Linked DNA regions of Caenorhabditis elegans. The protein of the gene in region 1 purifies or fractionates together with the protein of each later gene. This does not show direct contact. Each region holds a gene or a part of one and is shown in the gene's direction. Other genes may lie near its edges.

The links.
Region 2: the proteins of meg-3 (region 1) and pptr-2 purify together in Caenorhabditis elegans (affinity purification with western blotting, with the first as the bait; one study listed by BioGRID). This does not show direct contact.

The regions. Positions count from the first base shown.
Region 1 is NC_003284.9:1,985,730-1,991,566, reverse strand, and holds meg-3 (uncharacterized protein), read left to right. Parts: upstream 1-1,959; 5' UTR 1,960-1,961; coding exon 1,962-2,019; intron 2,020-2,064; coding exon 2,065-3,586; intron 3,587-3,632; coding exon 3,633-3,743; intron 3,744-3,789; coding exon 3,790-3,936; intron 3,937-3,984; coding exon 3,985-4,119; intron 4,120-4,250; coding exon 4,251-4,540; intron 4,541-4,588; coding exon 4,589-4,914; 3' UTR 4,915-5,098; downstream 5,099-5,837. Other genes in the region: Y40A1A.2 (F-box domain-containing protein), read right to left, coding at 520-574, 621-697, 750-833.
Region 2 is NC_003283.11:11,026,976-11,032,885, reverse strand, and holds pptr-2 (Serine/threonine protein phosphatase 2A regulatory subunit), read left to right. Parts: upstream 1-2,061; coding exon 2,062-2,206; intron 2,207-2,377; coding exon of another isoform or gene 2,378-2,423; intron 2,424-2,965; exon of another isoform or gene 2,966-3,081; intron 3,082-3,101; exon of another isoform or gene 3,102-3,242; intron 3,243-3,498; coding exon 3,499-3,564; intron 3,565-3,603; coding exon of another isoform or gene 3,604-3,615; coding exon 3,616-3,708; intron 3,709-3,754; coding exon 3,755-4,068; intron 4,069-4,111; coding exon 4,112-5,173; intron 5,174-5,229; coding exon 5,230-5,373; downstream 5,374-5,910.

The DNA.
Region 1 (5,837 bases):
GTTTTATATGGCGATGCATGAGAATTGTTTCAGTAGAGTTTTATTTACTTGGGGTTTATATTAATTGAAGATTAAAAAACGATCTCGACTTAAGTGCTATGCACTGCGGAACTGAGAGTCAGGTACACTGCCTGGTCATCACTACCGACTGAGCAACCCCTCCGGTCTAAAATTTTTGAACTACCGTGAAATGTTAAAACATGGTTAGGTAAAAACTTTTTGAAAGTTTTCAAATGTTTAAGGTCATTCAGACTAAACAAATCACACATGTTTGAGAAAAAACTAGCAGAAAAATCAAAAAATTACCAAAACGTAGAGATGCAAAAGTTGGTAATGCTGATTGAAAAAAGGTTTGGATATCTTAAAGTCAGTAGTTTACCAGACTTAAAAGGATAATACATGTCTTCTGAAGTCTCTATAGCAATCACTTTGCTTGAAAATAAATCACTAGGATTTCGGAATGGTGGTAGATCAACATGGAAAACACGGTTGTCGATAAGAAGTTTGTAGATTTTTCGATTAATTTTTTTTAAATCTACATCTGGTTTCACCAGAATTTTTTGATAGTTCTATTCTGAAAACAATAGACATTTAGATAATTAAAACCTACTTCAACTCACACTTCAGTCAACTTCAATTGATGTATAATATTCCGAAATGCAGGATACGGTAAACCAAGTAGGTGAAAGGGTTGAATCTAAAAAATCAATAAAATTAAACGAAAAACTGTAAAATACATATGTTCTTGCCTTGTTTGACGGGGTCCTGATACCTCGACGTTTAAAAAATCTCAGACAAATAAATGAGGAGAGTTGTGAAATAAAGGAGCTCATACCAAATGGTAACTCAAATATGTAATCGAAAAAAAAAAACACTGAGCAGACTAACGGAGCAGGCGAGCGTCTAAATGGTATAATCGATACATAGAAAGTGGTTATAAATCCTCCAAGTGTGTGACATCATACATTGTGCACAATGTAGCAGTAGCTATAGTAGCAGGAAATTAGTAACATTAGATCTATCCTGTTTGAAAGCATCAATGTCGATGAGTTGTTTTTTAAATTAAAAAACCATCGAGAATAATTTGAAAAATAAAATATGAATAATCTGAAGTCCCAAGGAATACCAAATTTCTACTTGAAGATTCTCAGTTTTTGTAACTTTTTAGAAGTCTTCGATCAAAAAAAATCCTTTGAATAGACATTTTTTCATATTTTTATGAATTAATAATGTTAAGAATCCTTATTAGTTTGGGATATCCAAACATTTTTTAAAATTTATGTTAAAAAACAAAAGATTTCAATGTTCTATATAAAGCAGTTTTTATTACTTTCCAGGTACTTAGTATTCCTATATTAAAATAATTTTAAAAAATTTCAAAACTCTGCACAAATCCGTTTTTGGAGCTATTTTAACGACCCTTTACATCTCGTTTTCAGGAATTCAGGATTATGTTCCGCCGTTTCTTTTAAAAAGTTTGAGATAAAAAATTATTTTAGTTTTGATTTTTCGCTTACAGGTTTTCTAATTAACATCTCCTTTACTGCCTATTATCCTGTTTCTTTTTATAAATTTATTCTTCTCATTTATTATTCAGTGATTATCCAATATTTTAGAGAATTAACTATCAATCCAATTGTTCCTCAAAACTCCATAGTCTTGGATAGTCTTGAAAACTGATCGATACCATGCAAACGGTGTGTGTTGTTTTGTTGATTCCCTGCCGCATTTGAACTATTTTTTCACCGCGCGCACGCATCGCCCCTGTCCGTCTCGCCACACACTATTTCCGCGCGCTCTTTCTCTACCTCTCACACTCTCTCAATCTCCCTAACTCAAGTGTTCATTCTTGTTGCGTGGTCCCACCGGTTTGCATTTTTTCATCTCTGTCTTTCTTTTTCGTTGTATTTTTTTAAATTTCATTTATTTCAATATTTCATTAAGTTTTGATTTTTGCAGGTATGAGTTCCTCAAAACCTTACCCAAGCGGTCTGCCAAACTCGAGAAGAAAAAGAGGAGGTGAGAGTTTTTTGCATCAATTTTTCATTCAATTTGTAAATTCAGGTCGCCGCTCAAGTAGTCGTAGCAATCAGGAAAGTGCATCCAACAACATGGAACACCAAATCACTCTTGACGAATTGTTCAATCCGATCGCAAAACAAGACAGTGCTCAGTCAACAAGCCGTGAATATGGTGCAAAATCGGGGATATCTCATCACGGATCCGTATCATTCAACGGGAATACATTCATGAATGGCCAACAGCTGAATCACTCGATGACTCGACATGGTCGAGTATTCAATCAGTCGATGCATGCAGCTCAAGGAAACGGCAGCAACGCCTTTAACAGTATTCCTCCTACGGCCCCCGTCTTCTCTGCAGACTTCCGCCGCAACTTGCAAACACGCAATAGCTCCAGCTGGTATGAACGAAGATTCCCAGTATCCACAGATCAGGACGACGTTCAGCAATCAAACACAAGACGTAGTAGAAGTCGTCAGAATGGACAACATGGCCTAAGCTTCTCGGATGGTTCGAACAATTATGGTCACGCTGGGAATAAGTCATTCAGTGTGAGTTCCGTTCCCGTTGGGTTCCAGAAGCAAGAAAATAATTCTAAGAAACTGCGACAAACCAATGTTCACCAGCAATGTCTTGGAAATAAAAGCTTCAACGCTCAAGCTGGAGTTCATGGACACGCTTTTAAAAAAGGCCATAAGGACAATAAAAATGCATCTGGAAAGGAGGTTATCAATTCTAGTCTTGTCCAAAAGCACGATGCTATTAAGTCGCGGAATTTGAACCAGAGCTTCTCTGGATTTCCTACACATGAAACCTCATCGATGAAAAATCAACAACAGAAATCAAGAAACGACAGAAAAAAATCACGTGGTAGCAGCAACTTCCAGGATCGTACTTACTTCAACACAAATGACGATGAATTAACTGACGATGTGTTCATAGACGATTCCATGGATGCTGCCCGTGGTCGGAGATCTCGATCAGTCACTAAGAAACTTCAACAATCGACTTATTCAAAGCAGAATGCAGGCAGTAAACAATTGACTGAAAAATGCAAATCTTCTGAAGAAGCGGCTAAACGTAACCTGGTATCCAATGTATTCAGCAAGGACGGCACTGAACTCTCCATTGAACAGTTATTGGAAATTGTCAGCATGAAGATCGGACAACAGATTCACTTGCCTTCCAGCTCTCATGGAGAATGCAGCAATTTGAATCGGACATTACCAGCAAGTGATCTAAATTGCTCAATTGGTGAAGACTTTGACTCCAGTTTTGTGGATGCTAACAACCAAACCCTACCAGTGAGTCTTCCCAAGAAAACTTCACTGTCGATCAAGCGCCGTGGAAGTTCTCGTAGTGCCTCCCGTCTGGCCAGTCTTGATGTGACACTGGAAACTGTTGAAGAAGACGAGGAACCCACGCCAAGTCCACAGCCGAGTTCTCCTCCAAAGATCTCAAGAAGAAAGTGGACAGGAACTTTTGATGCCAACGTTGAGGAAATGAGACGTTTACTTCATGGGGACCCTGAGATGCCGAAATCTGCAAATCGTGCTTCCTCAAGGTATGTAGTGAAATAGTAAAATCTTTAGTAAAAATTTAAATTTCAGCAAGGATCAGATCAATCGGAACAATGTGGATGTAAAGAGAACACCTTCCTCGTCAATCATCCCAACTCCAAAGGCTTTGATCGGAGAAAGATGTCTGACATCATCCAGCAAGTTAGTTTTACACTTGGAGCTTCTTATTTCATTATATTTTTTACAGGTCTTCAAAGTTGAACAAGTCACTTGGCGTGGTTGATTCTAAAGCTACAAAATCACCAATGTATTCCGTCACAGTTTCTGGAAAAGAAACAGCTTCAGGAAAGCGAATTGCTCAAAAGTTGACTCCAAAGGTTGTGGCGCTGGAAAGGTATGACTTTACAAAAAACGAACAACATTTCCATATTTTCTTTTCCAGCTCTTACATTACCGGAATTCCAGTTTCCACGGATTGTAATGGTTGCCCAACTCCGAAGAGAAGTGGAATCAATTGTGAAATTCGTGCAGCTGAAGTATACAATCAAGCTGGGAAATGGCCCTTCGAAATCACCAGGTAAGGTCCAAGTTAATAAATCCGCTATCGATCAAGCATATGGAAAATAATGTACAAGCTGAAAAGATTGAGCTCAAAACTTGATTCAAATCCTGTAAAATTATTTTCTGAGTACAGTAAATTTCTTTCAGTGATCCGGCTCCACTTCCTTGTGAATCAGCCGATCGGATCGAATATCCTTCTCAAGATTGCACTCAAGATCCAGCTTCAACCTCGCCACCACCTCGCATTTCTGAAAGCTTGACAGCATTCCTGGAAGCTCAGCAAGACTTTAACGACTACATTGATACTAACTACAAAGAAAAGACACAACTCCTGAAAGTGAATTTGAATATTCACGGGATGTCACCTGAAAGATGGCTGTACTTGAATTATTTTTGCACCGAGACAATTCCAAGATTGGATGGTCCTTATGCCGATGGTAAGAAAGATAAGACATATTTAATCTTGAAAACTTTAATTTTTTCAGATCCAAGAGTTCCACCTGTGCGAAATATGTTCAGAAAATGGTTCCTCCGTTTTGCTGAAGCCTGCTTAGGAAATCCTCACCAGCTTGCAGTTATGCAAGAGATTGCTGCCACGTTTGTTCAGGCTCGGCTGGACGATACGAGCAGCTCCACAGACTCCACCAATATGCTCTACATGTTGTGGAAGGAGTGTATCGGACAGAAGAATATCATCGCAATTGCTGATGCGTGTTTACTTGCACATCTTCGGAAATCGGATCCTATCAAATACTTGAATGTAAAACGGGATTGGCTGGAATCTATTTTTGACCCACCCAGAGATCAATGATTGTACCAATTTATATCTATTACTTGTAGACTATATTGTATGTTATTCTTGTTCATTAACCCTTTATCCACTCTTGTTATATTTCAACTCGCTTCTCCTTGTGAATTTGTATTATGTCTACCCAGATACTTGTAGAGGGTAGTATTATATTGTTGTCTGGATGATTGATAAAGAATTGCCGATTCTTTAAGATTTGGAGTGGAACTAGAATAAAAGAAAAGTTCGAAATAGATTTAAGAAAAGATGATTGGTAACTGATTTGAAAATATACATATCTTCTCATAGATCTTTTTTGTGAAATTTAAATACTGTCATTAGGCAAAATAGTAGTCACGGATTCAATTTTAAAACAGATGCTTCAGATTTGTTTGGAAAAGTTCCGTTTTTTAATACAGGGTGGGCCATAATTATGCGCACTACTTTGAAGCTTCATAAAACCAAAACAAAAAACACATTAAACAAATAATCATATAGGTTTTGTTCTCCGAGAAAAACTAAATAAGATACCATTTTTGAATTCGAAAATATCACCGTCCGCATTGCTACAGGCCTTCACAAGTTTCGGAAACGCACCAACGATGGCGGACAAGTAGGCACGCTTCAGGGTTTTTCATGTTTTTCTCGGAGGACTCATTAGTTATCAAGTAAAATTTAAAGTTCAAAGAATGCTCTTGATTCAGAGATGCTTCACACAAAAAATCTAAAAGATTGATATTGTTAGGTGACAGTGGCAGCTGATTGAGTATCGAGTACTGTGAAATTCAGTCAAGGCCTAAACGAAGCTTGTGCGCGGAAGCACTGACATGCTAAGAAAATCATATTTGTGTTTTTAGTTATTATTTTTACCCAAGGTTTCATATTTTCTTACGAATTTGCTCATAGATGATTTTGCGGATCGGTGTGTCTCGTGGAACAGAAAAAAG
Region 2 (5,910 bases), on another chromosome or scaffold:
GTGAATTCCCTGAATGTGTTTTCAAAGATTTTCGAACATTTATTTATTTTTCCTTTTTGGTCTCCAGCGACAAATTATTTTTCTATTCGAATATTTTTTCTGTAGCCGGGTCATCATGGAAATATTCCAATAGACTATTGAAGACGGATGAGCATTATTTCCGCACGTAAGGGACTTTGGGATTTTACGCTGGTTCAATGCCATGCATATACTCACAATAGCCAATTCCTTTGTGCTCTTTGATTTTCAAAACAGAAATATGATGCCAATACTGGCGCCCAGACCCCGGGACAAGATTTCATTTCTTCAACTAGTTTCACCCTCCGTCATCACGTGTCAGTTTTTAACGATTTCTAACAAAAATGTATGTTTTTGTGTCTAGGAACGGCAATGTTGAATATTTTGTTTTTCTAGAGTCTTACTTGTTTCAGCTTCGATGAAACCCGTTTTTTTAAATATAATTGAAAAGTGGATAAAAATTGGTTCATTATAATTAGAGATAGTTTAAAACAATACCCTAAAAATCCCAACAGTTAGAAGGGACTTATTCATTAATTAGTTGCTGGCTAAGTTTTCTATTTATATAATTACTCTCGAAATTTATCAATCGATTCTTGGACTTTTTTGTTCCGCAGACGCCGGCGGAGTTTACAAGCGTACGATGTGGTTCAACTTTTAAAGCTTTATAAATGGGGCATGTATGAATATTTCGAATTCTAAATCTATAATATTAAAACACAAACGCATCTAAATTATTGGTGTCGATAAGTATTTTTCAAGCGGTGAATCATCTGTGTTCACACAAATAACCAGATAAAAATGAATAAAAACATTTTAAGCTTGTTTAGAAAATTAATTAGTTTAAAACTTGATTCAAGACGGCACGATGCTTCTGACCGTTTTTATCCTTTCTAATTTATTTTTTTTATCGTATTACTTGCAATGGCATCACTTGATCACTGAACCTTCAAGGAAAAATAGAATGTTAAATTCAGAAAAAGTCTTAAATCTAGAAAAAAAAAACTCGGTGCACAAAAGTACATCAATTTTTTGTCTGTGATCAGCTACAATTCATTGCATATTCGTATAGAATATATTAAAAAAAGTTCCTAGATTTATTACTCGTTTTTTCACCAGTTATTTCTGCTTTCTTACGAAAACGCCTTTTCTCATTTTGCTTGTCAAAAAACACGCGATATGTGAGCCACAACAGAATTCTAATTGCTTGTTTCTATGTTGGGGGCACCACACAATTTCACCTGTTTTTCAGCAATCCAGCACGACCGCTATTTTCTTTGCTTCATGGGTTCACTTTTGGCAAACCCATAAAATATTTCGTATACTTATATGTCAAGTATTTGTATCTTACGAGTAAGACTGCCAAATTCTTCCTGCTCTCTTTTTTTCATCAGAATCTGATCCTTGACATCGTCTACTCTTTTACTCTCAAAAGAGCAGCAGTAATTGGAAATTGAAGAGGATGAAGCTCGATCTTTAAGGAAAAAACGAGAGAAAAGAAGTGGGCTGGTTAATCGAAAATTGCGCTGAAAAAGCAGAAGACGAGCTGTAGGAAAAAACGACAAAGCGTGGGAAGAGGGACGGCGCCGTTTGCTCCGCGCTTTTTATTTTTCGTCTTCCGATTTCCGAAGTGACGATGGTTTTTAAGTAAAGACAGATGATTTTTCTCATTCATGTAGTGATGTCATTTTTTGTTAGTTAGAGCCACATGGAATTCCATGGTTTTGCATTCCATTAATTCCTCTCCTACAGTTAATCATACTGCTTGAGATTGCATTTATTACATAGGTTACTGTAGTTTTCTAAAAAACAGATTTGGGTGCATATGTGCATGTTATCATGTGTGTTCTCAGTTTTTCCCCGTTGCTTTGAAAACATAATATCTCTTGTCAACAACGTTTTTCCACTTTTGAAACAATGAAAAATGGTCACTTGCTCAGTTTGTTGTCCCTTGTATTCTCTTTTTAATTTTTTAAAGGTCTCTTCATACTTTTATTGAATTTTTCATGTTGTTAATTTCAGGCGGTCGGCTCCGCATCCGCAATGTTGAGATCAAAGAAGAAGGACAAGGAAAATGGGAAATCAGAGAAAAAGGACAAAGAGAAGGATAAGAAATCAATGAAAGATGACGGTGCTGGAAGCAGTAAGGCATCTACAATTCCTACGATCCGAACAGAAGATGTTGGAGGTAAATTAATGTTTTGATTATTCGGGAAAGATGATAACACAAAATTTTAAAAAAGTCAATTTCAATAAAATCTCACGTGAATCTATATTCTTCCACGGTTCTCCGAGAGCATAATTTTTCATCATTTCTTTCTAACCATCGAGTAATTTCAACCATCAACCAAAGATAGCAATGAATAAAATGCCACAGAGATCAAAGAAAAGACGACAGAAAACGAGTAAGTAGTCTAAATTATTTGAGAACATTTAGGAGTAAGAGTGGTTCCTATCGTAGAGTTTTGAGAATTCTTCGAAACGAGCGGAGATCGTTGTGAGACCCTGTGAAGACAATACAGCGAGCCTATAAAGTTTAGATTACGGCGTGTCGAATTTTATCATGAAAACATATACTATTCGGAAACAAAAACAACATGATTCGAGATTAAGGTTTTGATTAGAGTTTTCTTCAGTAAATAATTTTTGAAGCTGTCCTCCCTTTCAGCATCTTATAGTTCTCGAGGTAGGCAGGTTTTTGACCACTTGCATTTTTTTGAATAACTGAAATGGATGCAAAGTATAAATAAGTAGAAATGTATCGGATCTGAAATCAAATGCACTACATTTTATGAAGATATTGAGTGAAAATATTTATCAGTTAGATGGGGGAGGAACAAGCCATCCAACCAACAACAAGAAATCTGTGAGCCCTCAAGGCACACTATTGATGTCCAACTTTTCCACAAACTCCTTCAAACTCTTCTTCTTTTTGCCCCCCCCCCCCCATTTTCTTTATTTCTCACAGAAAAAACGACCTTCTTTCTTCTCTGCGCCTGTCTTGCTCCTTTAGATTTCTTTTCTATCATCAATTTACCCTACTCTTCTTCTATTTCTCGCGTTATTTTGTATCACGGAAGAAGGTATTAGAAATAATTCGAATAGGATAGTTGGAACGGATTAGGACTCCAGCTCAATTAGTTTGATTGTGTTTTTTTGGTTTGTTACGCCTTTCCTGTAGTCTTTTTGCAGCGCATACCAAAGAAAAAAACATTTTAGTGTTCTGGAGAAAATATTATTTTGTTCATAGTAGATATTTTCTTACAAACGCTTAGACATTTCGCTATTTCCCCAACTTCACGAAACAACTTTTGTAGTGTACATTTGAATTTGAATTTCCCGCGTAAATGCTCGACGAGGCCGCAGAAATCGAAAATGGGATAGTTAGTCCACCACTAGTGTACTCCTCTCGGATAAATTTTTTTTTGAATCACAATCATTGATTTTTCCATTTTCGGCCCTCATATTTATCATTTCTAGGAGATATGATTCCTGCAGATGCACCACCACCAACAAATATTGGCCGAACAAACACGTACGGAGGAGGTTAGTGTTTAAACGAAGACTAATTAACTATAGAGACAGATTTAATTTCAGGGCCAGTGATACCGCGAAGAGAGCGCCGCCAATCAAGTAGCATGTTCAACATTTCACAAAACAGAGAGCTGCAAAGACTTCCAGCTATCAAAGGTAATAATGTTTTTTTTAATTACCGTATTGATAAACTCGTTTTTAGATGCGGATCCGAGCGAGAGAGAAACACTGTTCATTCAAAAACTTCGACAATGCTGCGTTGTTTTTGACTTTGCCAATGATGCTCTCAGCGATTTAAAATTCAAAGAAGTCAAACGGGCAGCTCTAAATGAACTCGTCGACCACGTTTCCGGAGCTCCAAAAGGATCGCTATCTGATGCTGTCTATCCAGAAGCTATCGGCATGTTCTCCACTAATCTTTTCCGTCCTTTGAGCCCACCGACCAATCCAATTGGTGCTGAATTTGACCCCGATGAAGACGAACCAACATTAGAAGCTGCCTGGCCACATCTGCAGGTAATATTTATTTTCTGCTCTTATTTAAAGTAAATATTTTCAGCTCGTCTACGAGTTTTTCCTGAGATTCCTGGAGTGCCCCGATTTTCAATCTCAAGTTGCAAAACGTTACATTGATCAAAATTTCATTCTTCGTCTTCTCATGATTATGGACAGTGAAGATCCACGTGAACGTGACTTTCTGAAGACAACTTTACATCGAATTTATGGAAAGTTCCTCGGACATCGTGCTTACATTCGGAAGCAAATCAACAACATTTTCTACTCGTTCATCTACGAAACTGAGAGGCACAACGGGATTGCTGAATTACTCGAGATTCTAGGTAGCATTATCAATGGATTCGCTCTTCCCTTGAAAGAGGAACACAAAACTTTCTTGCTCCGAGTTCTTCTTCCGCTACACAAGGTCAAATCATTATCTGTATATCATCCTCAACTCGCGTACTGTGTCGTACAGTTCATTGAAAAAGACTCATCACTGACAGAGCCTGTAATCAGTGGGATGCTACGCTTCTGGCCAAAACAACATAGTCCCAAGGAAGTGATGTTCCTGAATGAATTGGAAGAAGTCCTCGATGTGATAGAGCCGAATGAGTTCCAAAAAATCATGACTCCATTGTTCTCACAAATTGCTCGCTGTGTCAGCAGTCCACACTTCCAAGTTGCCGAACGAGCTCTCTACTATTGGAATAATGAATATGTGATGTCATTAGTAGCGGACAATGCTCGTGTGATAATTCCAATAATGTTCCCTGTTCTTTTCAAAAACAGCAAGTCACATTGGAATAAAACGATTCATGGACTTATCTACAACGCCCTCAAGATGTTCATGGAAATGAATCAAAAACTGTTTGACGAGTGTTCCCAAGCTTATCAGAAAGATCGAGTTCAAGAAAAGACATTGAATGAAGAAAAAGAACGCATCTGGAACAATATTGAGAAACAGGCAATGGGAAACCCGCAATATGTTGAAGTTAAAGCACTATTTGCTCGATTTAATCCAGATGAAATCATCAGCTCGCGTCAGCAGAATGGAGTTGACGAGAATATGAAGACTTCAACTGTGCTTAGCAAGGATGAAATTCTGAAAAATGCTGTAGGAGTGGTAAGTTACAAAAACCTAGAAATATTTTTTTTTTGTACAATAACGAATCATTACAGAGCTCGATGAAAAACGATATGGATTTCGGACCCAACCACAAACAATCCGATTTCCCTCCAGATGAGCAAACGACGAGAGCTTTAGGCGAGTACAAGCGTCACGATCCATTTTTGAAGAAAGTGACTAGCACCGACGAACAGTGATGCAGAAGACTTCAACGGGTGCCAATTTCTCCATGTTGTGCCGGGTTTATTATACGATGATTCGACTTCCTTACCCAGTTTCCGTTCCTTTCTTAAAATATTGACCATTCCATGACCCTTATCACCGTTTTATTGCTCTCCAAAATTGCCCTTAATCACATCTATGTTTGCGTACCTGTAAATATTTCGAAACTTATTTCAGTTTTATCAATATGCACCATAAATTCCATCTCTCCTCACCATCATCGCAAATCCAAATGCGACTTTTCATTGTGTAATAATTTCCCCCATTTTGGTAGTGATTTGGATTTAGATGTTATAAATGAATCGAGAAGCCATGTGAAATACATTAAAATCTGCATAGGAATAATCATGGGAATATATATTAGGCAGAAGGTTTACGAGGGGTTTGGCTCATTTCATCCAAATCCTTCTTTATATGTTCTTTTTCGAATGCTAACCCCACTCTTTGCACATCAATATGCACTTATGTATGAAATACACGAAATGAGACGAAGGAGCATTATAAGCGTTTAG